Caenorhabditis elegans: one gene and its partners. The gene in region 1 interacts genetically with each later gene. Each region holds a gene or a part of one and is shown on either strand. Other genes may lie near its edges.

Region 1 (6,484 bases):
CACGTTTCGGAAAACGATGTATACCAAAATGTTCAAGAATACGGTACCCGGTTCTGGCACGACAATTTTTTGTTAAATCCGGTTTTAATGTTATATTTGATTTTTTGTAAATAAATATTTTTTTTTTCCAAAAAAATAATTAAAAATTGATGAAACTTCCGCAGCAATGAATTTTAAAATGCAGTACTCATTAAAGGCACACAACAATTTCCATGTAACAAAAATTGTCGTGTCGAGACCGGCTGCGGTATTTTTGGCGGAAAAATTGCAAAATTTTGCGACTGGATAGTATAACCTAGGGTGTAAATTTTGAAAAAGTAAACATTCGTTAATTCTTGTTCATATGCTATTCAGATGTTTGCTCTCATCTTGATTAGCCTATTTAAAGAAACCAAAACAAAACTACTGTAGTCAAAGTTTTGTATCAATTAAATTGGCGGAAGAAGCCGTCGATGTTTGTTCGTTTTCATTCAGAGCACCCGTTCGTTTGCTTTTTTCGGTGAAACGAGTAAAGGGAGTAATTGCAGACGGAACTCTTCGTTTCTTGTTTGTTTTAACTCGTCACTGAGCTCTTCTCATGTTGATGAATAAGCGGTGAACGCAAAGCAGGCAAAGAGATGCATAATCCGCGGTGTGCTGAAAGAGATTGGGTGAAAATAATTGCCTATTTTGAAAGTTGACGTCAAAAAATATGGAAAGAAAATAACTATATTGTTTTTGGGAAGAAAACGAAGATGGTGACAAATTACATGTCGGGATTCTTGTTTTAGTGTGTTAAGGGGCCATTCCTATATGATATTACGAGAACACTGAATTTCAAGAATGCGTATTGAGCAAAATATCTCGTAGCGAAAACTACAGTAATTTTTTTAAATGACTACTGTAGTGCTCGTGTCGATTTTCGAAAATGTTTTCTTTTCGAATTTGGACAGCGGGTTTCAATTTTGCTTCGCTTTTTCGAATTGTAAATAATTTTAATTGATAATCGCTGCCAAAGTTCGAGAAAATATTTTCGAAAATTGAGCCCGTAAATCGACACGAGCACTACAGTAGTCATTTAAAAAATTACTGTAGTTTTCGCTACGAGATATTTTGCGCGTCAGATGTTGTGCAATTCGCATTCTCAAAATGTAAATAGTGTTCCTGTAATATAGGCGCTGGGGAATTTTAGAGAAAATCAAAATCTATAGGAAAAAACTATGAAAATTCCAAGTTTGCCTAATAATGCATATTTATTTCAGGTATCTTCATTCCTGTTTCGTGCCTATTTTGTTGGGTAAGCGGTGGTTGTCGACGATCGAAATCCCGTCGAATGTCCTTCTTCGCAACACTTTCAAGTCGTCAAAATCGAAGTCGACGTGGCACAGGAAATGATGAGGAGCGAAGCAGTTTGTACCCTTCCTCTCCACCCACTCTTCAAATCCGTAAGTTTCTCTCTCTCTCTCGTGTTTTCCCATCCATTTTGAAGTTATCATCAAAAACCACAAAACTTCAAAATTCACCAAACTTTTCCAGCAGCATCCACAAAGTGCCGACAGCCATCGTCCTTTTCTCTTCCCGCAGTCTCTCACGACGTCATTTTAGAAGAGAGTGAATCTTCTGATCATGAATGGAGGAAGGCCAAGAGGTGCCGAAAGATAACATTTGATCTCTCAATGACACGCCGGGATAATGATCTTTCACAACTGTGATTAAATTCAAACTGAAATCTAGTATTAACGGGTGATTTTGAAAATAAAACAATTGAATATGGCGAAGCACTTCATTTGACTTCGAGCAATACAGGAATGCAAAAATAACTGGCGAACACAGCGTCTATAAAATACAAAAAAAACAGAAAGATGCTCAGAAAATACAATACGTGGGCACATTCAATAATGTTAGCAAGCGAGGTAGGTTAAACGGACTGGTAGTATATTTTCAATATAGAAGATCTGTTTTCCGATTGCTAATGTTGAGTGTATGTGAGAGATGGCAAAATAGGGAAGATGCTGAAACGCATTCCTACAAAATAACACCGGGGGGGTCGATATAGAAGCTACAGGGAAGAAAAACTAGCAACGAATCATTTGACAAGGACAACGAGTGTCGCTGTACAAGAAGATTCCGTAAAAAATTTGTTAAAGCTTTTTGGTTAAGTGAAAGTTTAGGGGTGTTCGATAAAATGCAAAACACGCAGTTAGTAGAAATAAAATGGGCGTATCAGTTGAACTGATTACTGGCTTGACGATTCTTTTGGTGGAGAAACAGACTTTCCGTGGAACGATGTGGAACCTTCGTAGAGAGCAGCGAGAAGATAATCAGGGCTGTTATGTGGGGACCAATGAATCTCTTCGTCTAAAATTTGATTTTTAAATGAAAATCGACAATCTAGAATCTAAACTATTTACCTGAAACTGTCTCGCTCTCTGATGATCTCAATCCAGAAGATGTCACAGATGGTGCTCTCTTTCCTTTGTTAGCACTATTATTTCCTGATCCAAAATGGTTTGAAGTGTCGAGAAGAGCAGTAATCTGGTCACGAAGATGATGTGGGAATATAGAGTTCAACTCCACATCAGACAGCTCGTGATTCGAAGAATCAGAACACTTATTGCTGCATGGTGAGTTTTGTCTGTGCATGCACATCAGAATACTTGTTTCCGTCGTAGGCTCGCCGTTTTTGCAGAAGTATTCACCAGCTGAAGAAAGCTTGAGCTCGCTGTGCTTGGTGCATCGAGGTGGTTTGGTCTGCACAAGACTACGCGTGTTGAAAATTCCATTGCTACGGTATGGTGCCATCATGAATCCAGCTTCGGGAAAACATGTTGTGTTCTCCTTTTCCTTGAACAACTGATGCATTGGCTCAGCTCTCCATAAATTATGAGGGGCTCGAAGATCGACACACAGCTTTGGTGGTGGCAAAACTTCATTTTGTGGATTGTTGATAAGCTTTCTGCGGGTTGGTGTCGCTCTTCTCACTTCTATAATTCTTCCTTGAACATGTGATTCGTGAAGCGCAGCACGAGCTTTCTCACAGGATTCGATGGAATCGAGTGTGACAAACCCGAACCCTTTGGATCCACGATCATTTGTGACGATTTCCACACTCAGGACTCTTCCATATCTGAAATTAATATTCTTATTCAGAACTTGTTGTAAATTGAAAACTCACGCGAAGAACATTGCCGCCAAATCTTGTTCACGAAACGAGAAGGGAATATTGCTGACATATATCCTAAAAGTTTTTTGATGAATTCATTAAAACGGCACGACAAATTTACCTGTTATCTGTGAAAGAAGCCGGCTCACGAGTTTTCGGTTTGACCGATATTGGCATTGTGAAAATTGGATCTTTGTTGGAAGGATTCGCACTGTTAAACGGTAATCTGAAAAAGAAATACTTAATACCAACATTTAAAAATGATAAACATACCCATCATGTGCTCTGTGAGCGAAGTTAGTAAATATCTGTGTGTTTTGCATTCTGAAAAAAAAAGTTGAATAAAGAAAAATGAGGAACTGGGTAAAGAAAAGACAAGACAACAGAAGACAAGTGCAGAAATGATTCCAAATGATGATAAAACGATTGAAAATATAATTTCACATTTTCCCGCCACCGAGTTACAGAAAAATCTAAAATCAAAATTTCGCGCCTTTGTGATCTTCTAGATTTCTAGTTCATACGAACGTCGGATCAGGTCTAAAAGTTAATATAACTAGACAATTTTGTGTTCTATTTTCGATTAAAAAAATTATTTTACGAATTACTAGAAACTAAAGCTTTAATTCGATTTTCTTTAGGCCAAGAGCAAAAAATAATTTTATTTGATTCAAACTCGCGCTTCATTCATAAGCCCCGCCTTCGCAATCCTGGCACGCAGTTTTTGCAAGGAGCGTGCACGCAGTTGCCTTTCTTCTCTTTTTCTCGTTTCATGTCAATTGCGTTTTTTTTCTCTGCATTTATTTTTTATTGAATTCTTTTCCCATTTTCCCATAAAATTTTATCTATTTTTTCTCATTCTTATAGTTTCTTTCAGATACTTTGCAAAAGAAATGATAATATTATAAAGAATGGCCCTTCGAAGGAAATTCACTTTTGAACTTCCGGAAGACAGTTATTGGAATGAATCTGACTCGAATTCATCCGGATTGTTTGATGATTTACAATCAAAACAAGTAAGTTTTAACGTAGTTATTATATTAAGAAAAAACGAAAAAAATCTTTTAAAACTATAAACGTGACCAGATGTTTTACTTTTAAAAAATTGAAAAAAAAGTAAATTAACACGTTTCTTAATTATTATATTGCTCAAATCAATGTGTTTAACACGAAAATTAAAGCTTCAAGCTCGAGCAGCCGTCGACAATCTCTTCGGTGGCGATGAGACTCCGAAGCCGTACGTCCGACCGCAGAACCCAACGCCAACTCCCACAAATGTTCCACTGCAAATTGACGGAAGAGCTGCTGCTGTGTCAGACAAGGCGAATATTCGAATAACAGAGTAAGTTAATTACATTGTTTTATGAATATAAATAAGTAATTTGCAGTACCTCTCCTCGGGCTTCTGGCAAGATTGTAGATGATTTCTTGAACATGAAATTCGCTGAGAACGTTAACGTGGCGCCAGTTATTCAGACCGCTCCATCTGTGGTTTCTGAAGCAAGTGCAAGTAGTTTACCAAGTGAAGCACAACGTCTTGATTTGGATTATAATCGATTGAGACAAGAACATCGGAAACTTAAAGATCAGCACGAAGTTAGCTATTAAAGTTTTAATATAGAATTTTGAAGATAATTATGATTCTAGGTTCTTCGCCACGAACGGTTTCAGCCGCTTACAATCGAGGCTAGTATCAAGAGAATGCTTCAAGGGCATACTGTAACACTGGATTACTATAGGTCATTACGTGATAAGACACAACTTTTGAAGCAAGCAGTTGCCACGTACGACAATAATACAATTTTCAAGGTCCGAACAGCTATGATACTAATTTTTTAAAAAGTTATCTTTCTTTACAGATTGTGATTTTTCTAGAGAGAACTCTCAAGGAAAACATATTCTGCAAAATAATGGATGGCCAGAAAAGTGCATGCCGAGTTTACACACGACATCTTCAGATCACCGGCGAGTGGGACAAGATGAACAAGTTTTTACGGTATTTAATAAAAACTAAATTAAAATTTGTTGAAATCAATTTCCCCATTTTATAGTAGCATTGGTCAGTATCAACATGCATCTGTCATTGAATTCGAAGCTACGCGAAAATACAAACGAAATCCAGACAAGCGAGTCCCGTTGCTCCGAACCATGCTTCATGGTAGCTTCTCAATTCCTGAAATGAAATTTGAAGCCCGACAAATGGAAGCGTTGATGAGAAACTATGAAATCCAATTGCAAATGGAGAAAATGGATGCTGGAGATAAAGGAGAACATTTCCGAAAGTTTCCAAAAACCAGCTCTCTAATTGGATTACCTGCTCTATCGTCACTGTATTATTCAGCGATGTACCATTACGACGATTCACCGGTACATTACTCTTCAGAACGTTGCAAAATCATTCATAATCGATGTATTACAGACATCTGCAGCTTCTCTACCATCAGTTCAAACATTGATCCGATTCAATGATCGACTTGCCACTCAAACGATCGTCTCAGCGTTGACTCGACTAAGCCGTTGGCCAGATATCGATAAGCTACTTCAACCGAAAACTATCACCATGACGTTCAGTGCAGCTAAAAGTAATTTTGTGGTTTTAGCTGAGAAAATATCTAAATTAACTGAATTTCAGGTGTGTTCAAAGGCAAAAAATCAACCAGTAAATGGGGAGTTTCCATCAATAATCACAATTTGCTGACTATTGTAAAACGATCTCATCCATCTCCACCGACTGATGTGAGGAATAGTTTTAACAAGATACCTATTATTCATGTGTGTAAATTTTCAGTTCATCTACCGTATCCTGAAAGGCGAATCTGATGCACAAGAACGTCTTCGCCTAGCACTACTATTTGATGTTCCTGAAATGGTCATCGAGTGTCTGACACAGAAAGGAGATCGTCTCTCGCTGGCTTCATACGCGAAATCTCTGAAAACAAATTCTGTGGAATCATTCAAAGCGGTGGCGGCTCTCAACAATCCGTCGATAAAATGGAAGTAATTTTATTAATTCGCTTCAATGTACTGTACATGTTTTTTCACCCTCACCACATCCCTCATCACTTTCATAATTCCATTCACGCATAGTTAGTTGTAGAATATACACAATCCTTATCATATTATAGAGCATCATTTCACTTCTTAATACTATAACATAATTTCACTATTCAGTCTTGTAAATGATTAAGAATTATTCATTTTCACTGGTTCCTCGCTCTCTCTTTTTTTCTGTAGATGTAAAAACTTGTCGTTATAGATATTTATTTAAATAAAATTTATTGTTTTCTATCTTTTATTTATTTCTTTAAAAAATTCGCCGTGAAACTTTTTTTTACTTTTAAA
Region 2 (7,567 bases), on another chromosome or scaffold:
TACTCCAAACAGTTCTGAATGAAATTGATGCAATCGGATCAATTCATCCAACTTCTCTTAGAAGACATGTATCGTTCTTCCAAACACTTCCAACGAGTAGAATTATTGAACGGATTTTGGCGCATCTAAATCCTAACAATAGTGAAAATATCATGTCGTACGATATCAAAGAGCAATCAACAGAGTCGCTGCTTTCAAAGAATTCTAAAGTATTTGGAAACCTGATTACTAGTGGCGGAAGAACTGTTTTCGAAGTTTGCGACTCTCCAACAGTGGAATTGTGTGAGCTCGATAGGAATACGCATTCACTGGCAATGCAGTACCAGAACAATCGGTCAAGTGGAAGCTTAAGTCGTCGGAGTCACGCTAGCATCGCTCATTCGCTAGGAGCTGGAACTCACGGGTAAGTGTATTCATTCAGGTATAGTCTTCACTGAAAAAAAAAACAATTTAGACCATATTCTGATATCAACGAGTCTCGTGAACTTTCAATGATCTCGATGCCATCAAGTTCCCGAACAAATGTACTACTGGCACAACCAACGTCATCTTCTACTTCTCGCATTCAAACACTTCCACACGCGTTTGCTCCTCAGGCAATGACTCAAATTCAAATGGGAAAAGATGGGCGAGTGAGACCTGTTGGCGGAGGCCGTCGACCTGTACAATGGCCAGCTGGAAGCACAGAAACTACATTTCCAGCTCATTTGGGCCCAATCACCACCTCAAAAATGTGTGCTTTGAATGAAGAAGACGAGAAGTGGATCAATGTGAGTTTTTTATTTTTGAAAACCCCCTAATTTTGGAATTCAAGAATGATCGTAATGATGTTGTCTACAAGTTTGTTGAGCATCGAAAAAATAAAATTCGTCGGTATATTGGAGAAGTGAACGCAAGATTTCCAGTTCCTGTGCAATGCACTGTTGAAGGCTCAAAAAGTAAGAGTTGTTATAGCTGATTCATAATGACGATTAACCGATATTCCAGACTCCAAACACCGCATGGTCATTCACTTCTCGTGTCAAACTCGTTCTTCGCCATGTTGTGTATTCACCAAGGAATACCTATTTGCATTTAAAACTAAATATCCAGCATTTTGGCTTCATTTCATGTTTCTGCAAATGGAATGTTCGGCAATAACCCAATTCGGTGAAGTTGTCGGAAAGGACTCACAGCAGTACCAAACGCTTGAACATTGTTGGAAGTGTTTACCGAGTTCTATAACAAAAAGTGTTCCCTTTGATACAATGATCACTGCAGCTTTTCCAAACTCAAAAGACCAGAACAAGCTGATTAAGGAACTTGACGAAGCTGGATTTTTCGCTTGTTTTACAATGGACTCTACGAATAATATGTGGAATTGCATTAGTTGTACGAATCCTGAAAAAGTGAAATACTTTGTTGAAGAAGGAGGCGCCGAAAAAGTATTGGAAGGACAGTTGAAAGAGAAAAAAGGGCGATGGAGGTTTTTGAAACGATGGAACACCAAATACTTTACCTTGTCATCGGCTGCATTGAATTATAGCACACAACATATGCCGGTACGTTTTTTTCCGGAATCGGAAATTTTGATACATCATTTCTGTCACTTTTCAGACTGATTCCCGAGCACTCCTTCCCTCAATCGATCTTCGTTCTATCCGATCTGTCAGATCGCTCGGTCGTGGAAAGAAAGCTAGAAAGAGTCTAAGAAAGGCATTTGAAATTTTCACAGCTGACAATACATCAATGATTCTGAAAGCCAAAGATGAAAAAAATGCGGAGGAATGGCTTCATTGTCTACAGATTGCAATGGCTCATGCAAGAAGGGAATTGGCTTAATTCACCTGATTTTAATATTATAAACTTTATTTACAATAATTATTAGTTGAAAACATTGCACGAGATTCCAGAAATTCAATGATTAAAGATAGATTATTGATACAGATTTCCAATGTCAATGGAGGTAGATCTATGTTCTGCCACTTGTGCCGTCTGGGCAGCCGCTGCTCTTGCCATGTTATTCAGAGTTTCTACTCCGTCCATACCCATCCTGTTCATTATCATTCCGACACTAGGGAACCCAACAGCTGTTCCGGTATTCACACCAACTCCAACGAATGGGACAGCGAAACCCTGAAAACAACCCTGCGTTTTTGTAATTACCAAGATTTTGCATACCTTATTCCACGAGACTCCCCCGTTGAGCCAATCAACTCCAACTCTATCTGCTAATCCCATAAATGGCCCGACGTGGTACCCATTAGTCACTGAAATCGGTCTTCCGAGCTCTCCTTCTTTGATTGGCACTGAGACTTGCGTTCCTTGACCTCCTTCAACTCCAATTCCCTGCACAATTGGAATACTCCATCCAGTTTTGTATCCATACTGGCCTGAAATCGTTAAAAAACTTAAAATTATAAAAAAATTTTTTGAGCCGTAAAATCCTACCTTCGTACCAGTTAGCTCCATATTCTTGGGTTTGAGACCAGAAATCTCTTACACCAAGATTATCAGAATATCCTCCTCCCCACGTTCCAAAATCTACTTTTCCATGATGGCCGTTTCCAATGGAACCTTCCTCGTTTACAGGGTAGTACGGGATTCCGTTGACATTCCAGTCGTAGTACGTAAGACCAACTCCAGAAGAGAAAGAATTGGCAATTGCTCCAAGTGGGCGAGCCTATACAATTAACATTGTTGAATAATTTTTAAGAAATCTGTCAAATCAACTGACTTTTGCTATAAATTCAACGCAATCTTTTTGATATCCTCTGCATCTTTCAATGAATTGTTCTTCGACTTTACTTTTGTAGCAATGCTGAAACAAAATTTAATTTGTGGTAAAAATTGATTGTGTTCTATCATTTACCTGATTTGCCATTGGTGCAAATTTTGCACAAAGTGCGTAAATTTCTTTAACGGACAGACCAACTTCATGGATAGACTTTCTAGTTGTCACTTGCGACACTTTGTGCTCAGCAGTCAAAAGCGGCGCTGTATCTTCATCCGGGTCCACTTGCTTTCCGTTTTGAGCAATAAATCCTTCCTTTGAATTTAAATCTTTATCATCTACTGTCTTCGTAACAGCCGCGTGAATTCTCGGACGAATTTGAACACTGTCAAATGGGTTACTGTACTTCTTCGGTGGCTCTTGAGTTACTAGCTTCGGGAACTCAATGTCCTCTCGGTTTTTTCCAAGCGACACTAATGACTCTGCTGCGCCTACTTGAGGGCGATTAATATCGTAAGAAGATCCCAAGTAAGATCTGGGTTTCGGATAGTAATAGTCGGTATAAGTTTGATCAACTTGTGTATGTTCTTCTTTCACGTTTTCGGTTTCGTTTTTGAGAGCAGGAAGTTGTAGAAACGGGAAAACTTGAAAATGTTGTAATTATATATTTCAAACAATTGACTTGACTTACGAGATTTTGAAAAGTCTAGAAGCCCAGTTCCTTGCTCGTTTATATTTCCCATCTCAATGTTTCCTAGACCTCCAAAAGACATCTGAAATTAGAAACTTTAAAACTCTGAAAATCCTGTTAAACACATGATCTTACTTTTCCAGTGCTGCCCGATCTTTCTCCCATGGTTGTCTCTCGATCCATATATCCTAACTGAGGTCCCTTTTCATCATCAATATCAAATGTTCCTCCATTCGCTTTTTGACCTTGAGATCCTTCCGGAGTAAACTTTGCGGTCATTTGACTAACATCTCCAACGCCAAATTGGCCTAACATTGGCACGTGCATTTTTGCATCGTCTCCATCTTTTCTTCCAAATGCCAACGGACCGATTAATTGAAGAATTGCAGGCGGTTTTCGCCGAATTTCTCGATTGAAACCACGCGCAATGGGCGCTTCTGTGTCTCGACGTAATCTTCGATTGATAACTGAAAAAGATGTTTGGTGATAAGGAATTGCGTTTTATGAAAATTGTCCCGGTATAAATGATAAAGCTAACAGATAAGGCAGGCTATACTTGAATTTTCCGATTAGTTTTCCGACTTCAATTTTGAGATGATTCATCTAGCCGTACTACGGGCAGTTGAATTATTATTATAGCTCACACGAATTTTGATAAATCTTGCAACAAAAAACAAAATTAAAAGGGACTGGAAAACTTACTCCCAAATGATTTCAAGAGGTGCAGTGCGCATTTAAAGTTCCCCGCGATTATCAAATTATGCTCTTACAATTATGTTCAACAGTTTATGAATGAATAAATTTAAAAAAATATGTATTGAAGGTGAAGTAGCGCCAGTGGGGATTTTGTCTAAATATACTTATAATAATCCAAAACATCCAAATATCAAGTTTTTTGCAAATTGCCAAAATTTTGAAAAAAAAAAGAGGTTTTGAGGAAATCCAAAGCAATATCGCACTTTCCGACCCCTACAATGTTTTAATACAAATATTTAAAACAAAATTACAGTATAAAAAATGCAGGGAAAAAAATGTTTGGTCGACTTCCAAAATTATGAGTAGCAAAAAACTGATTAATTGCCACTTTTTGACAGTAAAAATATTAAGAATATTTACCCGAAGCATCTGTGCAAAAAACCAAACCAGATATAAATATTAGTAAGGAAATGTAGAAAATATCCACGAGGTTCCTCCTCATTGTGTGTCCCGGTGAGAATAAAAAATGCCAGTGTCTCCTTCTGATTCGGATTACGTCTTCATCATCAAAAAGGTGGAAACTCGAAAAACGAGATTTCTCGCGTCATCCGCCGCCCAGTCCCTTGCCTCGAGGCTTATCCTTTTGTCTCGTTTTCCATAAAATCGGGCAAAATTGCGAGGCGGCTAGTGATAAGAAAGGGTAATGAATATGTATTTGATAATTGCGTAACTATGGTTGTTTTAGAAAACTGAGATTTTACAAGTTTTTTATTAACAAGGAAACAAAAATACTAAGAAATGAAAGTAACTAAAATACTAGGAAGCACAGACAGGAAATGCGTACAAACGAGAGGAACCAGTGTTCATTTGGAGAGATTTGATATTTAAAGAAAACATAAATTAATATAAAAAGGAGACTGCGGTTTATTTACAGAACTGATGAGTTTAGAAGGTATAATCACGGAGACGTCGTTCCAGCTCCAGCCACTACTCCAGACACCACGGACTCATACGTGGAGCTCTTCGAGAACTTTTCAGCGTCTTGTACTTCTTCTTTACTATGATGAATTCCATATCCAAAATAGATAACAAAACCAATGCTCATCCAAACAACTAACCGGAGCCATGTGATCCAAGCAAGATGAACCATCATCAAAGTGTTGATTAAGAGTGAAAGGGCAGGAATAAGAGGAACGAGAGGTACCTGAAAGGAATATTTACATTATACATAAAAATCTCCTGCGTAAATTATCAATCATACCTTGAAATCCAGTGGAGTATTATTGGGGTAATGAGCGCAGATAAAGAGGAATGAGAGAATTATCAGAGCAATATTGACTAGCAAGAATATTTGGCAGAGAACAGTTCCATATAAATATCCAGAACTGAATCCAAGGCCTGAGAAGAACATTGAAGCAATCATTACGCTCATCCCATAATAAATCGAGTGTCCTGGCTGAAGTTTATCAAGGAAGCCACAGAATGGAATGCTGAATCGAAGTTTTCCTCCATTGTCGAATTGGCCCTCATCAACATTATATGCTGGTTGGTAGCGAAGTACGATTACACAGGCAGAAACAATAGAATACGCAAGAAGAGTTCCAATTGATAAGAATTCAACCTTGAAATATTTTGTTTAAAGTATATTAAAACGTATTTCAGCTTACCAAAGTGGTAATATCGAAAAGCAATGCAATGATTGCAGTGAGGAATCCAAAAATAAGAAGAGCTTGAGTTGGAACTTGAGTTTTTGGGTTTACGGATGCCAAGGAGCTGAACAAAAGTCCATCATCAGCCATTGAGAATACACATCTCGGAAGAGCAAACATTCCTCCAACCAAACTAGTTGTCATTCCAAAAAGAGCACCGACCGAGACCGCATAGCTTGCAAATTCTGCTCCACGCATCGTGAATGCATCAGAAAATGCTGCAGTTGGATGAACCATATTGTATGGAATCATCAATGTCAGGGAAGCTGACATCAGAACATAGGAGAGTGTGACAATTGTCATAGAGGAGAATGTGGCAATTGGAATTGATCTAAAATAAATTACCTAAGATTTCACATACTCAGTTCACATAAATTTTAATCTCACCGTGCAGGATCTTTAGCTTCTTCTCCAGCAGTTGCAAGTCCGTCAAATCCAATGTATGCAAAAAAGCAAGATGCAGCTCCAGCAAACATTCCAGATACTCCATACGGAAAGAATCTCGAATTCCCTTTCTCATCTACTCCACTCCATAGAGAGAAATCAGCAAACGTTATACCATAGAACACGACTATGACAACAATTCCAATATTGAGAATTGTTAGGAAAGAGTTGAAGTTAGTGGACACTTTTGAACCAAGAGCAACAAAAAATGCCACAAGAACGATGAGTAGAAAAGCGAGAAGATCAGGGTAATCGCCGAAAAATGATGAAGCCTGGAATTTCGAATTCAAAATTTTATAAAAACATTTACTGGCTTACTTCATGCAAGTGCCCAGTGCGAGCAATTGTTGAATTTGAAATAACATTTCCCAGTAATGAATCCAAGTATCCAGACCATGATCTAGCGACAGCAGCAGCTCCAAGCATGTGCTCTAGTATAATGTTCCATCCAATAACAAAAGCCCATAGCTCTCCAACTCCAACATAAGTGTATGTGTATGCACTTCCAGCTTTTGGGAACCTAGCTCCAAACTCGGCATAACACAAAGCAGAGAGAAGAGATGCAAAACCTTAAAAAATATTGAAAAATGGAAATAATTTACTGAAGCCGCCGTTTACTTACCTGCTAGCAAAAAAGACAGAATAATTGATGGTCCCGCAGTGTTTCTGACAACCGACCCAGTCAATACATAAATTCCAGCGCCAATCATATGGCCAACTCCAAGAAGAGTAATGTCAAAAGTACTCAGACATCTTCGAAGTGGGGTTGCTATCTCACCAGCCGGCAAGTTTTTCAGACGAAATACACGTTCTCGAAGCGCCGAGAAGCACATTTTTGTTTTTGTTCCTGAACTTTTGGTTTTCTAATTATCTGAAATATCAAAAGTTGCGTTTGAATTGAGGTTGCAAGCGGAGAGTAGGAAACGATCGTAAAAGTTTTGAGTTCAACGCCAAATTTTATGAATTTTATGTAAAAATGGGAATTTTCTGGCAGCTTTTCCTAGAAAAGAAAAATTAAATTAATCGATCAATTATGCAATATTTAGATCAACAAAAAGACAACAAACGCATAGATGGAAAAATAAACGAGAAAAAGAGGAATAGAGCGGGCGCGCGGAACTGGTGGAAGATAAACAAAGACGTTTTTCGGGGGAAAAAATGTATGCTGGACTTCGTGTGTAATGGAATGACAGCACAAATGGTTTGTGGTTGTCAGAAATGCATTGAAGTCTCTGTTGTGATATTTCGTATCAATTTTGACCAGTATTATGAATTCCATAATAAAAGTCAGGCATGTACTTTAAAATTTGATTT
Region 3 (9,980 bases), on another chromosome or scaffold:
ATACTTGAAATTGAGTTCTATTTGGTCTTTTGTTCAATGATTAATCTATTAAATGCACCGGGCCAAATAGAATTATTTACGCAATTAGTTTATTTCTGTTTTTCTGAACATCGAGAGTAACCGAATTGAAATGTAGCTTTCTCAATTATTACAAAATAATTGAATAATGTGCTCTATGGGAACAATGTGCTATAAACAATAAACAATTTATAAAATTGATTCTGAAATTGTTTTACAATCTATAAAAAGTGTCTATAAAAATAAGAATTCCTAGAAAATATGATATTGAGTTCACTTTTAATTTAAAATGTATATTCAATTATTGCTATTTTTCAAGTACTAATCAAAATGTTATATTTCAGTGTTTTTCAGTTTCCAGACTCCATACACTTTCCGGTATTCTTAGAACAATTTTTTTTGAAAGTAGTCAAGCGGGTTATTATCGTGAACTTTGAAAATACATCTTATTTATTTTTTACACCATTTTGAAGCTTTCAAAATATGGAACCAATTCAAAAATGCTTCAGAGCGAATTTCACAATAAAAAGAAATTACCTTCTTCATGAAAAATGACATTTTGGATTTTTGGCATAATTTCCAAAAATTATCTTATTCTACTGAAATTACCAAATATCACAGCTCTCACGGGCGCTTCTCTAACTTTAAAGTCTATTCGGATGTGATTCCATCTGGAATAATTTCAGACTTGGAGCAATAATGTTTGAAATAAAATATTTTTTAATTTGTTTTTAACATTTTTTATTGTTGTGAAACGGGGGTGTTTTGTGGCCCGAATGATAAAAACTGATTGGATAAAACAACAAAAATTATCATCTAGGCGAAACTTTGAATATTAAAATTGAAGAGAAGTAGGAAAGTAATGGGATATGAGAAGAAAACAGCGCATACCACAATTTCTACCGTATCCTGGTTGCGATTGCATCATCTCATCTGCAGGTAGCGATCTCGTCAAGACTTTGATTTTATTGTTTTACTTTGAAATTTCAGGCTTAATTTGTATCAAAATTTTTATTGACGACGATTTCTTATGCAACCAGGGACTCGGGATGGTTTGGATGGAACATTGAATAAATTTGTATTAAAAATTGATGGGAAAACATGAATTGTGGGTGGGAAATGATGTCGCTCGATTGACCTAATTGTTCGAAATATTGATTGGGGGACAGTCAGTCAGAAGCACGAGGGGCAGTGGGACAGAACAAAAAGATAGTCGAGAAGATTTAGTGATGGAAGAACGATAGAAAAAGCGGATGGGCGCATTTGTTGGGGAGAGAAATAATTGAAAATTTAAAAAGAAAGAGAAGAAGAACATGAAAGAAATAGAGAAGAAAAATAAAACAATTATACACATCTTATTAGCAATTTATTTGATGATTTGATGTATGGCGACGCTTTTTGGGATGTTTAATAATCGTCTTCCGTGACGAAAATCTGCAAGAAAAAACAAACGAAAAATGTGAAAAACAAGTGACGTAAAATAATTAAGGTGTTGGGAACAAATTTTTTTAAAGATAAAATGATAAGTAGTAGTTGCTCAGGATTTCTGTTTTCCGACACAGACAAAAACAATTCTTGAAATTTTCTTATTGAAATTAGAACCATTTTTGATTAAAGTATTTGTCTATTCTAACTATGAGCGTTTAACATAAAATCTAAAGTATTGACAAATCAAAGTATTTTCAACAAAAAAAGAAAATTAAAATACCTTGGAGGATGACTTTCCGGTGACAACAGATGAACGATGCTTGGCACGGATGAGGTGAAGGCTGGACTCGGCTTGATCGGCACGGCCCTCAGCATCCTCGAGCTCGTGTTGGTATCTGCGGACTCTCTGGAGGTTTTGCATTGTTACGGACTCGGACTCAGCAAGTTGTCTCTTCTGGATGTTGAGCTTCTCGGTAAGACGATCAGCGGTGTCTTGAGCCATAACGAAGTTCTTGTGCTCTTCATCAACGAGTTGTTGAACCTCCTTGATGCGGCGATCCTTCTTTCTCAAGGCATTCTGGGTCTCCTTGTGTCTTCTGGTTTCCTCATCAAGAGCGGTCTCAAGATCACGGATTCTGGTCTCCAACTTGGCGATGACTCTCTTTCCTCCGAGAAGAGCGGCAGCCTCAGCTTCTTGAATTTGAACTTGGAGTTGCTTGACTTGCTCCTCAAGAGACTTTCTCAAGGCATCGATTTTCATCGAGTGTTCTTGTTCCTCATGAAGTTGTTCAACGGCACGGGCAGCATCAGCAAGAGCACGGTTGGCGCGCTCATCAGCGGCGTGGAGTTCCTTGGTGACCTCATCCAAATCAGCTTGAGCGGTGGAGAGCTCAGTCTCGAGTTTGTTCTTGATGGAGGTGAGGTTGTTGTTGATGGAGATAAGGTCGGAGATACGTCCATTGGCTTCCTCGAGGTCAACCTCGGCTTGCTTACGGGCGCGGATAGCGTTGTCGAGAGCGGTCTTGCATTCCTCGAGTTCAGCAGAGAGAGCGGCGACCTAAACATATATAAAAATGAATTAAGAGACCACAAAAATGATAACTCACCTTGCGTTGAGCGAGGGCATATTGGTCCAAAACTTGTTGCAACTGACGTTGAGTATCCTCCAATGAGGCTTGGAGAATCTTGAGTTGCTCCGATTGCTTTTTGATGGTCTTCTGGGCTTCGATGTTAGCTCTGTAATTTATGAATTTAAGGGTTGAATGTTGAAAAAATTAGTATTTACCTGTTAAGGTTATCAACAGTCATCTCGAGCTCAGCGATCTCAGCCTGGTACTTCTTCTTCAGTCTAGAGATCTCGGACTTCATGCGGGCCTCGGCATCAGCCAAAGCGGCAATAAGTCTGTCGATTTCGAATTGAAGGTTCTTGCGAAGAGCCTCCATCTCTTCTTCCTTCTCTTGGAGACGACGTTCCATTTCGATGCGAAGAGCCTGGAGCTCAGCAAGGGCACGTTGAGCGCGGTTTTCGGCGTCACGGCGTTGAGCATCAGCCTCCTTGAGGGCAGTCTGGAGCTCACGGATTTCTCCGGCAAGACGGGCGTTCTCGAGGTCGAGCTCGTGGAGCTTGCGGTTGGCGTCGGCAAGAGCCTCCTTGGCTTCGTGAAGTTCGTCGTGGAGCTTCTTGTTCTCGCGAGCAAGAGCCTCCTTCTGTTCGACAGCCTTCTCGTACAAATGCTTCATCTTCTGGAGCTCAGCATTGACGGCACGGAGTTCGCGTTGAGCAGCTTCGAGTTCAACAGTGATCTCATCGATACGGACCTTGAGTTCTCCAACTTGTCTCTCGAGTTGTTCTCTGGCACGCTCCAAGAGAGCAATGGTGTTCTGGGCCTTCTCAAGATCAACGATAAGAACCTCGACCTCAGATTGAAGACGAGACTTGGCCTTCTCGAGTTGAGAAATCTTCTGGAGCATGATCTCGATTTGCTCTTCATACTCAGCTTGCTTCTGGAGCATCTTCTTGCGGAGATCCTCAACTTCTTCGTGGTGAAGGGCGACCTCAGCATCGAACTTGCTCTTCCACTGGGTGATCTCAGTGTTGGCAAGGTTGAGCTTGTGCTCAGCATCGGAACGGGCAATCGACTCCTCATCGAGAGCGGTGCGGACCGAGTCGAGCTCGAGCTGAACCTGGTGGAGTTGAGATTGAAGTTGGGAGCGCTCCTGAAATTTCAACGTTCTTTGATCTTCGCACGTTTATGCTTTTTTAATGTCCAGAAATGCGTCAGAGGAAGAAACCCGATATTTCCGCCTCTGAATTTGGCACTTTGGACTAGTAGACTTACGCGCTCGGCATCCTCAAGACGACGTCTGGCCTCCTCGAGCTGTTGAGCGAGGGTGTACTTGACGTGTTGAAGGTTATCGAGTTGAACCTTCTGGTCGTGAACCTCCTGAAAAACATTAACGATCCCTGATCTGCTAACAGAACACACTGAACGAGACAAAAAAACGATGAGGCTCACAGAGCATCCTCCTTTCTAATATCTCGAGTACTCTATTTGCACACACACTCTGCGGAAATAGTAGCGATAAAATAGAGAATTTAGTAAAGAAACCCCCTGTTAAAAGGGGTTTCTTTTTTTCTTTTTACCGCATTTTTTTGCTAAAAAAAAGTAGAAAGATGAGCAGAGTGATCGGTGGCACGTGATAAAGATGATAAAACTAGAGATTATACACATGATACTTCAAAAAACAAACCTTGAGAAGATCATTGTTCTCAGCTTGAAGGCGTTGACGTTGTTGGGCGAGGTCATTGACGTGCTTGTTCAAGTCCTCGACCTTGTTGGCAAGTTCGTTGGCTTGGGCTTCGAAGCGCTCAGCGGCCTTCTCAGCGGTGTGTTTGTCCTTCTGGAGCTGGTCGATAGTGGCGGTCAACTCGATGACTTCGTGTTGGACGCGTTGGCGTTCGCGGTCGATCCTGAATGATGATGATATTGCGTGGGATGGGAGGATATTTGGAATTTAACAAAAAGTCAAGCAGCGGCGAACAAGTAATTCTTGATGTGTCAACAATATGTTTGGCTATGAATGATGTCAGAAAGCAGCCGGTTTGGACAGGTGAAACTATTGATAGTGGGTGGAAAAGTATAAACTAATTTTGGATTTAAAAACATTACGTCAAGAGTTGCACACAATTATTTTCATGGGAAAGTTGAACTCGAAGATTTTTGAACGCAAGAAGGGAACAACTAAAACTTATTTTACAACTGAATAGATCATCTATGTACATTGTTTAAAAGATTAACATAGATTCTAGAAATGTGTTTTAAATTACGGAAGATTTTCCTTGATTTCATTGAAAGTTATTTGAGCAAAAAAAAGAGACATCATAAAATGAATCCATCGTAATTTAAATGGGAAAAATACAGTATTTTTCCTATTAATATACAGGATTTCTCACGCATTTTTGTTGTTGAAATGTGTTCATAAATGAAAAATAACCGAGATATGAGCTGTAAAACTAGAGGATAGGAGGTGCAAGACTAGGCTAGCAACCCCTTGTTATGAAACAAATAATGTTTGATCCTTACTACATTTTTAAATATTCTATAATATGTTCATGCATTCGTCATTCAAGTTCTCAAGCTGTCCCCTTCCCGTTCATCTCAACTTCTCATCCCAACTTAATCTCATTATTTTTTACCACCACCACTGTTTCACGGGAACGCAGATTGCTCGCCAAGCATCAAGATCAATGAGAGAAATGTGAGAGATATTGAGAAGATCAGTAAGACGCAGACATTCTTGTATCTCTCTCATCTCTTCCTGGAAGGCGAAACAAACACACACACACGAGAAACGTTTGTTATTTTACACACTTTGAGCTGATGCTTCTTCATCTTCTTATACTTCTTCTTCAGAGCTTCTGCCGAGCCGCCAACTCCTCCGCTGCCATTTCAACGCGGGAAGATAGAAGAAGAAGAAGAAGAAAATGAAGGCACAAGTACTAATACGAAAAAAAACTTAGAAAATAAAGATAATAACTTACTTGGCATTTTTCTTTTGGAGTTGCTCGATCTGATCTTGGTAGTCGAGGCAGGAATCCTAAAATTTCACGAATTCTTTAAGCTATAGCATAAAGATTACTGTACCTGGTGCTTTTTGCGGAGAACATTCATGGCATCTTCGGATTCAAGTTGAGACTCCTCGAGGAGCTTGCGAAGCTTTGAGAGTTCTCCCTCACGTTTGCGGTTCGATTCGATCTGTAATTATAATGTTTAAAGGTATAAGATGTTTCTTTAAATTGAAATTCATAAAAACTGGAAACTCACTTGGCTGTCGGTGGTTCCCTCGGCATCCTCGAGTCTGTCAGTCAAAGCAATAACTTGAACGGAGAGATCGGCACGCTCACGTTCAACCTGAAAATGGCAATCATGGTATCAGAGATAAAAGGTAAAAACTCACTCTGTTGCGGAGTTCGCGCTCTGATTCCAAATCCTCTTGGAGAAGACGGATCTTGTCCTGAAAAGTGAAACTGTATTAATTTGTAAAATCTTTGAAGAATTAATTGTTTCAAGAACTGATTCAGATAAAAAAAGTATGGATTCCGATTCTGATTGAACTTCTTGATGAACCTTATTACACGGACCTATAAATTTAGTGCCGAGTGGGGAATATTTTTAAAGTACTGTGAAGATAAACATCCTGACGTCACAAATTTAAATGTCCCGGAATTTCTTGAGATCAAACGACAAGAATACACTCGTAGCATACAATTCGATATTACCATTTAGTTTTTTTTTTGAATTGATATCTAAGCTTAACAAATAATGCATTAGGTTTCTTCGAAATTTTACAACACAGTGTGGGAGATTATAAGAGAAACGTGAAAATAGCTTATAGATATGAGAGACGTAGAGTGCATTTTTTGGAAATAGACCAGCGAATGATTTGGTAATTGTTTTTATTTTAATTGACAAAATGTTTTTGCAGGCAATTGGCAATAATCGCAAATTCAGTAGCTAGAACCATGAGAAAATATGGGGTCAAAAAATAATTGTTTTTTCAAAGAAAAAAAGCGTAATTTTTGTTTTTTATAAGTGCTATATTTGAAAATCTGAGAATTAGGGTTCTACTTTTTCTTGGAAATATATGTAAGCAAGCAGTAAGTTAAACAAAGGTTGCAAATCTTAGTTACACAAAGAAACTAGTTGCCGAGATGAATGATGAACAGATTTTTCAAAATGAAGATTTAGAATAAGGAATCTAAAGGTTTAATTATAGAGAAAACTAGGAAGTTTAAAAATTTTTCTGAAAATAGTGTTTTGGCTCGGAATATTGTTTTATTCCATACATTTTGATGCAGAAAAATAATATTTACAAAACTGAAAACGCCGTTATTTGTCAATCATTCAATTTAGGGACAAAACAAACATTTTTCTTGAGACTGAGGAGTACTGTAAAACTACAATTTGAGATTTTTCAAGTTTTTCAATTCTTCGTTGCTATATTAGATGCCTTTTTTACTAAAATTTAAATTACAGATATAATTCAAAATATCAGTCAATGAAACATCGATTCGATGAAAAATGGAACACGGGTTTTGGGGTTTTGGCAGTGAAATGTTCAGAAATGGTAGAAAACATTCAAAAATTTACCTCGAGTCTGGTGAGTGATCCAAGATCGGCGACGGACATGCTGCCAAATGGAGCACCGAACGCTGCTTGCGACGGGCTCTTAAGAAGAGCAGCGGATGGCGAACGATACAATGACATGATCAAATGGAGTATTCAAATGGATGGTGCCCCTGTGTGTGCTGCTGGCTGGCTGGCTGCTTCGAGACTGACTGATTGTGCGTTGGGGCTCTGCCGTCGGGAAGACACATACACACATATCTCATCCCGCGCCGTTGCGTCGTCGATCGTCTCTCTGTCTCCAAGTATCTCTCATCATCAACTTCTACGAAGGTAGTGTGCCCGGCAGGGAGCGAGAGAGGAGCCTCAGTGTAATCCTTCTTGCCTAGCACTGAGCCACCCTCCCACTCTACGCTGCGTATCTGATAAATGCCATTGTGTTTTTGCCAACGAGTTGGCGGGATACGATCTCGAGAAGAGCGCGCCGAGAGCCGAAGCGCAGACGATGCATCAGGCACCCGCGGGCCAGGAGGTTTTAAACATTCGAATGATATTGGTTTGGTTCGGGTTGAGGCGACACGGAAGAAATTCAGCAAAAAGGGATGAGCACAGACAAAAAACATCGGGATCCACCAAAAACTTCAACTCGTGTTTGTGTGTGCCTTTTGAATGTCCGAAAGGGCAGGTGTGAACTTTGACGAACGGATAGTAAAACGAAGACCACTTAAGAAAAAAGAAACACAAAACCAGAAAAAGCGAGACTGAACTGCCATTAATCGAATGCCATTCCACCTATCAGTAATCAACTCTTACTTTATTCAGGCTCTTCAAGCCTGGGTTGTCTCCAATTTTCATTAAAGTTTCTCAGAACTATACTGTTACCTTTTAGATGATCCATTTTCATAAATTTATAAAAGTCTTCTATTAATGGTAATACGTCTATACAGTCGAAATATTGAAGAATTCCAAAACTCGGTTGTCAACTATTTGAAATTCCTTAATTACAGATAGTTATGCTCTCTTCTTGTCCATATCTATTAATACACTTCCTTAATTGATAGCCTTGTCATATATGATCTGATCAATGTTTTAAAAAGTTCTTGGATCTCATATTCTGAAGAAATAAGTGCGAAGTGTGTAATAATTGAGTGTATCCCGGAGAATGTGTGTGTGTGTGCGTGTGTGAGGGGGTGGGGGAGCGTATCACAACAAATTGTGATGAAATCAAGTTTTTATTACTTCTATAATAACTTGGTATTCAATTTCCAATATATCGGCTCTTCCGAATGTTTTTTCATTAATGAAAAATAGGCTTGATAAACTGATTTTCAAACTGAAATTGTGTCATGACGTCAAAAAATCAACGTTTTCACTCCAAATCCCGTTACTTCTTGTGACTCATGTCATTTTTAAATAAGTGTTGTGAAATTTCAAAATCTTTTCTAAATTTTCAGAATTTTACTTCCATTACGACTGATCAACCAGACAACAAAATACTCTTGTTGAGCAGTGTCAGCTGACAAATCGTGATGACCGAGATAATTAGTTGGTTGCAGAAGCAGGGGATGGTGAAATGTACTGACATTCGTTTGAACTTAATTTCAGATTTGATTATAAAGAAAAAATCTTGAACATTGTAAGTTGATGTTTATTGATTGCAAAAACTAGGATGGTTTTACCCCGCTAACAACTTTCTGAGGAAATATCGATTGTCGCACATTTCCATTCCAAAACGTGACAAAAACTTATAAAATGTAATAGAAAACGGTAGACCATTTATATTTAACTTTTACAAAGAGTGGACATACCTTTGAATAGTTTTTGTTAGACTTTAGTAAGGCCAGATTTTGGTTAAACCTTGCATACGATTTCCACAAGATTTCTAGCAGTGCTGCCGCTTGTTAAAATTATTTTTAACATAACTTCGAGAATATATGCTAATAATGCTGTAAGTTTTCTCTCAAGATAGAAACTTGGAACTACTGGATTTATCATTTTGTAGACAACTATCCAAAACAAAGGTAGATCAAAGCATTTTAATTTGTTGATATCTTCCAGATTTATGCAGTGAAACATGTTAAAGTGAAATATACTTGTAGACCGTATTTCATTTTATCTTTTTTGTTTTTAGCACTATTCCTTTTATTAGGAGAAGATCTAAAAACAACATTTTTTAAAGATATTTGCATATTTTTAAGTTATGCAATTTTGATTAATAGCTATATATTTGTCACCTTTCCATCTTTTGTCCATCCATTTTTTTCGTGATCATTACAAAGAATCTCTTCAATAGAATTCCCTCCAGAAGCCGCCCATTCTCTCTCATCGGTCTCCACTGCCATCTCAATATCTTTTTTTGCCACCGTACACTCTCTGAACTCTTCAGTGACAAGCCCACATCTCACACTCTTCTTCTACTACACATGCTTCTCTATCACATTTCTTTTTGTGCCTTCGTTGAAATGGCAGAAGGGTCCGGGAGCACAGAGGATCTTTCTCTCTGTGCTACTCGAGGAGCAAGAATGAAGAAGCATTTTTCGGCCCCGCATTATTGTTTTAAAGTATTGGCAACTGGGAGGAAAAGAGATATAGATACTCAGCAAAGGAGGACGATAATGAAAAATTTCAGCCGAAACATGAGATCAATCTTCAAAAGAATATTAGAGGGAACATGTCAAAATGTTCAGATTTTAGAAAAAAAAAATTTGTTTGAAAAAAATTTTAAAAATTTCGGAATTGAGTATTTGAAGATAGTTTCGAAATCATTTGAAAGTTACTGTTCTGATATTATACAAATATCTAAAATAATTCGAAAGCACCGAGAGGAGCTTATGTGGTTTTGCTATGATTTTTTGTTTCATGTTATCAAATGTTTACAGCTGAAAATAATAAAATCAATACTGTTTA

The links. A genetic interaction does not mean that the proteins touch.
Region 2: of spn-4 (region 1) and C50D2.1, a change in one rescues a mutant of the other (synthetic rescue), as found in Caenorhabditis elegans (one study listed by BioGRID).
Region 3: of spn-4 (region 1) and unc-15, a change in one rescues a mutant of the other (synthetic rescue), as found in Caenorhabditis elegans (one study listed by BioGRID).

What each region holds. Positions count from the first base shown.
Region 1 is NC_003283.11:6,781,438-6,787,921, forward strand, and holds spn-4 (RRM domain-containing protein), read right to left. Parts: upstream 3,467-6,484; 5' UTR 3,466-3,466; coding exon 3,416-3,465; intron 3,369-3,415; coding exon 3,264-3,368; intron 3,218-3,263; coding exon 3,155-3,217; intron 3,107-3,154; coding exon 2,391-3,106; intron 2,338-2,390; coding exon 2,216-2,337; 3' UTR 1,750-2,215; downstream 1-1,749. Other genes in the region: ZC404.15 (uncharacterized protein), read left to right, coding at 1,242-1,424, 1,516-1,691; spe-39 (Spermatogenesis-defective protein 39), read left to right, coding at 4,054-4,158, 4,324-4,484, 4,531-4,738, 4,790-4,951, 5,002-5,138, 5,194-5,509, 5,562-5,724, 5,775-5,878 and 1 more.
Region 2 is NC_003280.10:108,722-116,288, reverse strand, and holds C50D2.1 (Peptidase S1 domain-containing protein), read right to left. Parts: upstream 4,723-7,567; 5' UTR 4,603-4,722; coding exon 4,521-4,602; intron 3,872-4,520; coding exon 3,540-3,871; intron 3,487-3,539; coding exon 3,405-3,486; intron 3,358-3,404; coding exon 2,852-3,357; intron 2,801-2,851; coding exon 2,717-2,800; intron 2,663-2,716; coding exon 2,431-2,662; intron 2,373-2,430; coding exon 2,161-2,372; intron 2,116-2,160; coding exon 1,915-2,115; 3' UTR 1,829-1,914; downstream 1-1,828. Other genes in the region: K10B4.3 (Protein melted homolog), read left to right, coding at 1-403, 455-770, 815-938, 988-1,541, 1,597-1,821; C50D2.2 (Cationic amino acid transporter C-terminal domain-containing protein), read right to left, coding at 5,059-5,304, 5,362-5,721, 5,768-6,140, 6,197-6,525, 6,572-6,822, 6,876-7,086.
Region 3 is NC_003279.8:7,375,870-7,385,849, forward strand, and holds unc-15 (Paramyosin), read right to left. Parts: upstream 7,329-9,980; 5' UTR 7,215-7,328; coding exon 7,098-7,214; intron 5,962-7,097; coding exon 5,905-5,961; intron 5,859-5,904; coding exon 5,772-5,858; intron 5,703-5,771; coding exon 5,592-5,702; intron 5,545-5,591; coding exon 5,489-5,544; intron 4,418-5,488; coding exon 4,198-4,417; intron 3,891-4,197; coding exon 3,786-3,890; intron 3,664-3,785; coding exon 2,732-3,663; intron 2,683-2,731; coding exon 2,553-2,682; intron 2,504-2,552; coding exon 1,727-2,503; intron 1,453-1,726; coding exon 1,426-1,452; 3' UTR 1,018-1,425; intron 953-1,017; 3' UTR 735-952; downstream 1-734. UniProt on the Caenorhabditis elegans protein: Structural component of the muscle thick filaments which is involved in assembly and organization of sarcomere myofilaments. Involved in ovulation.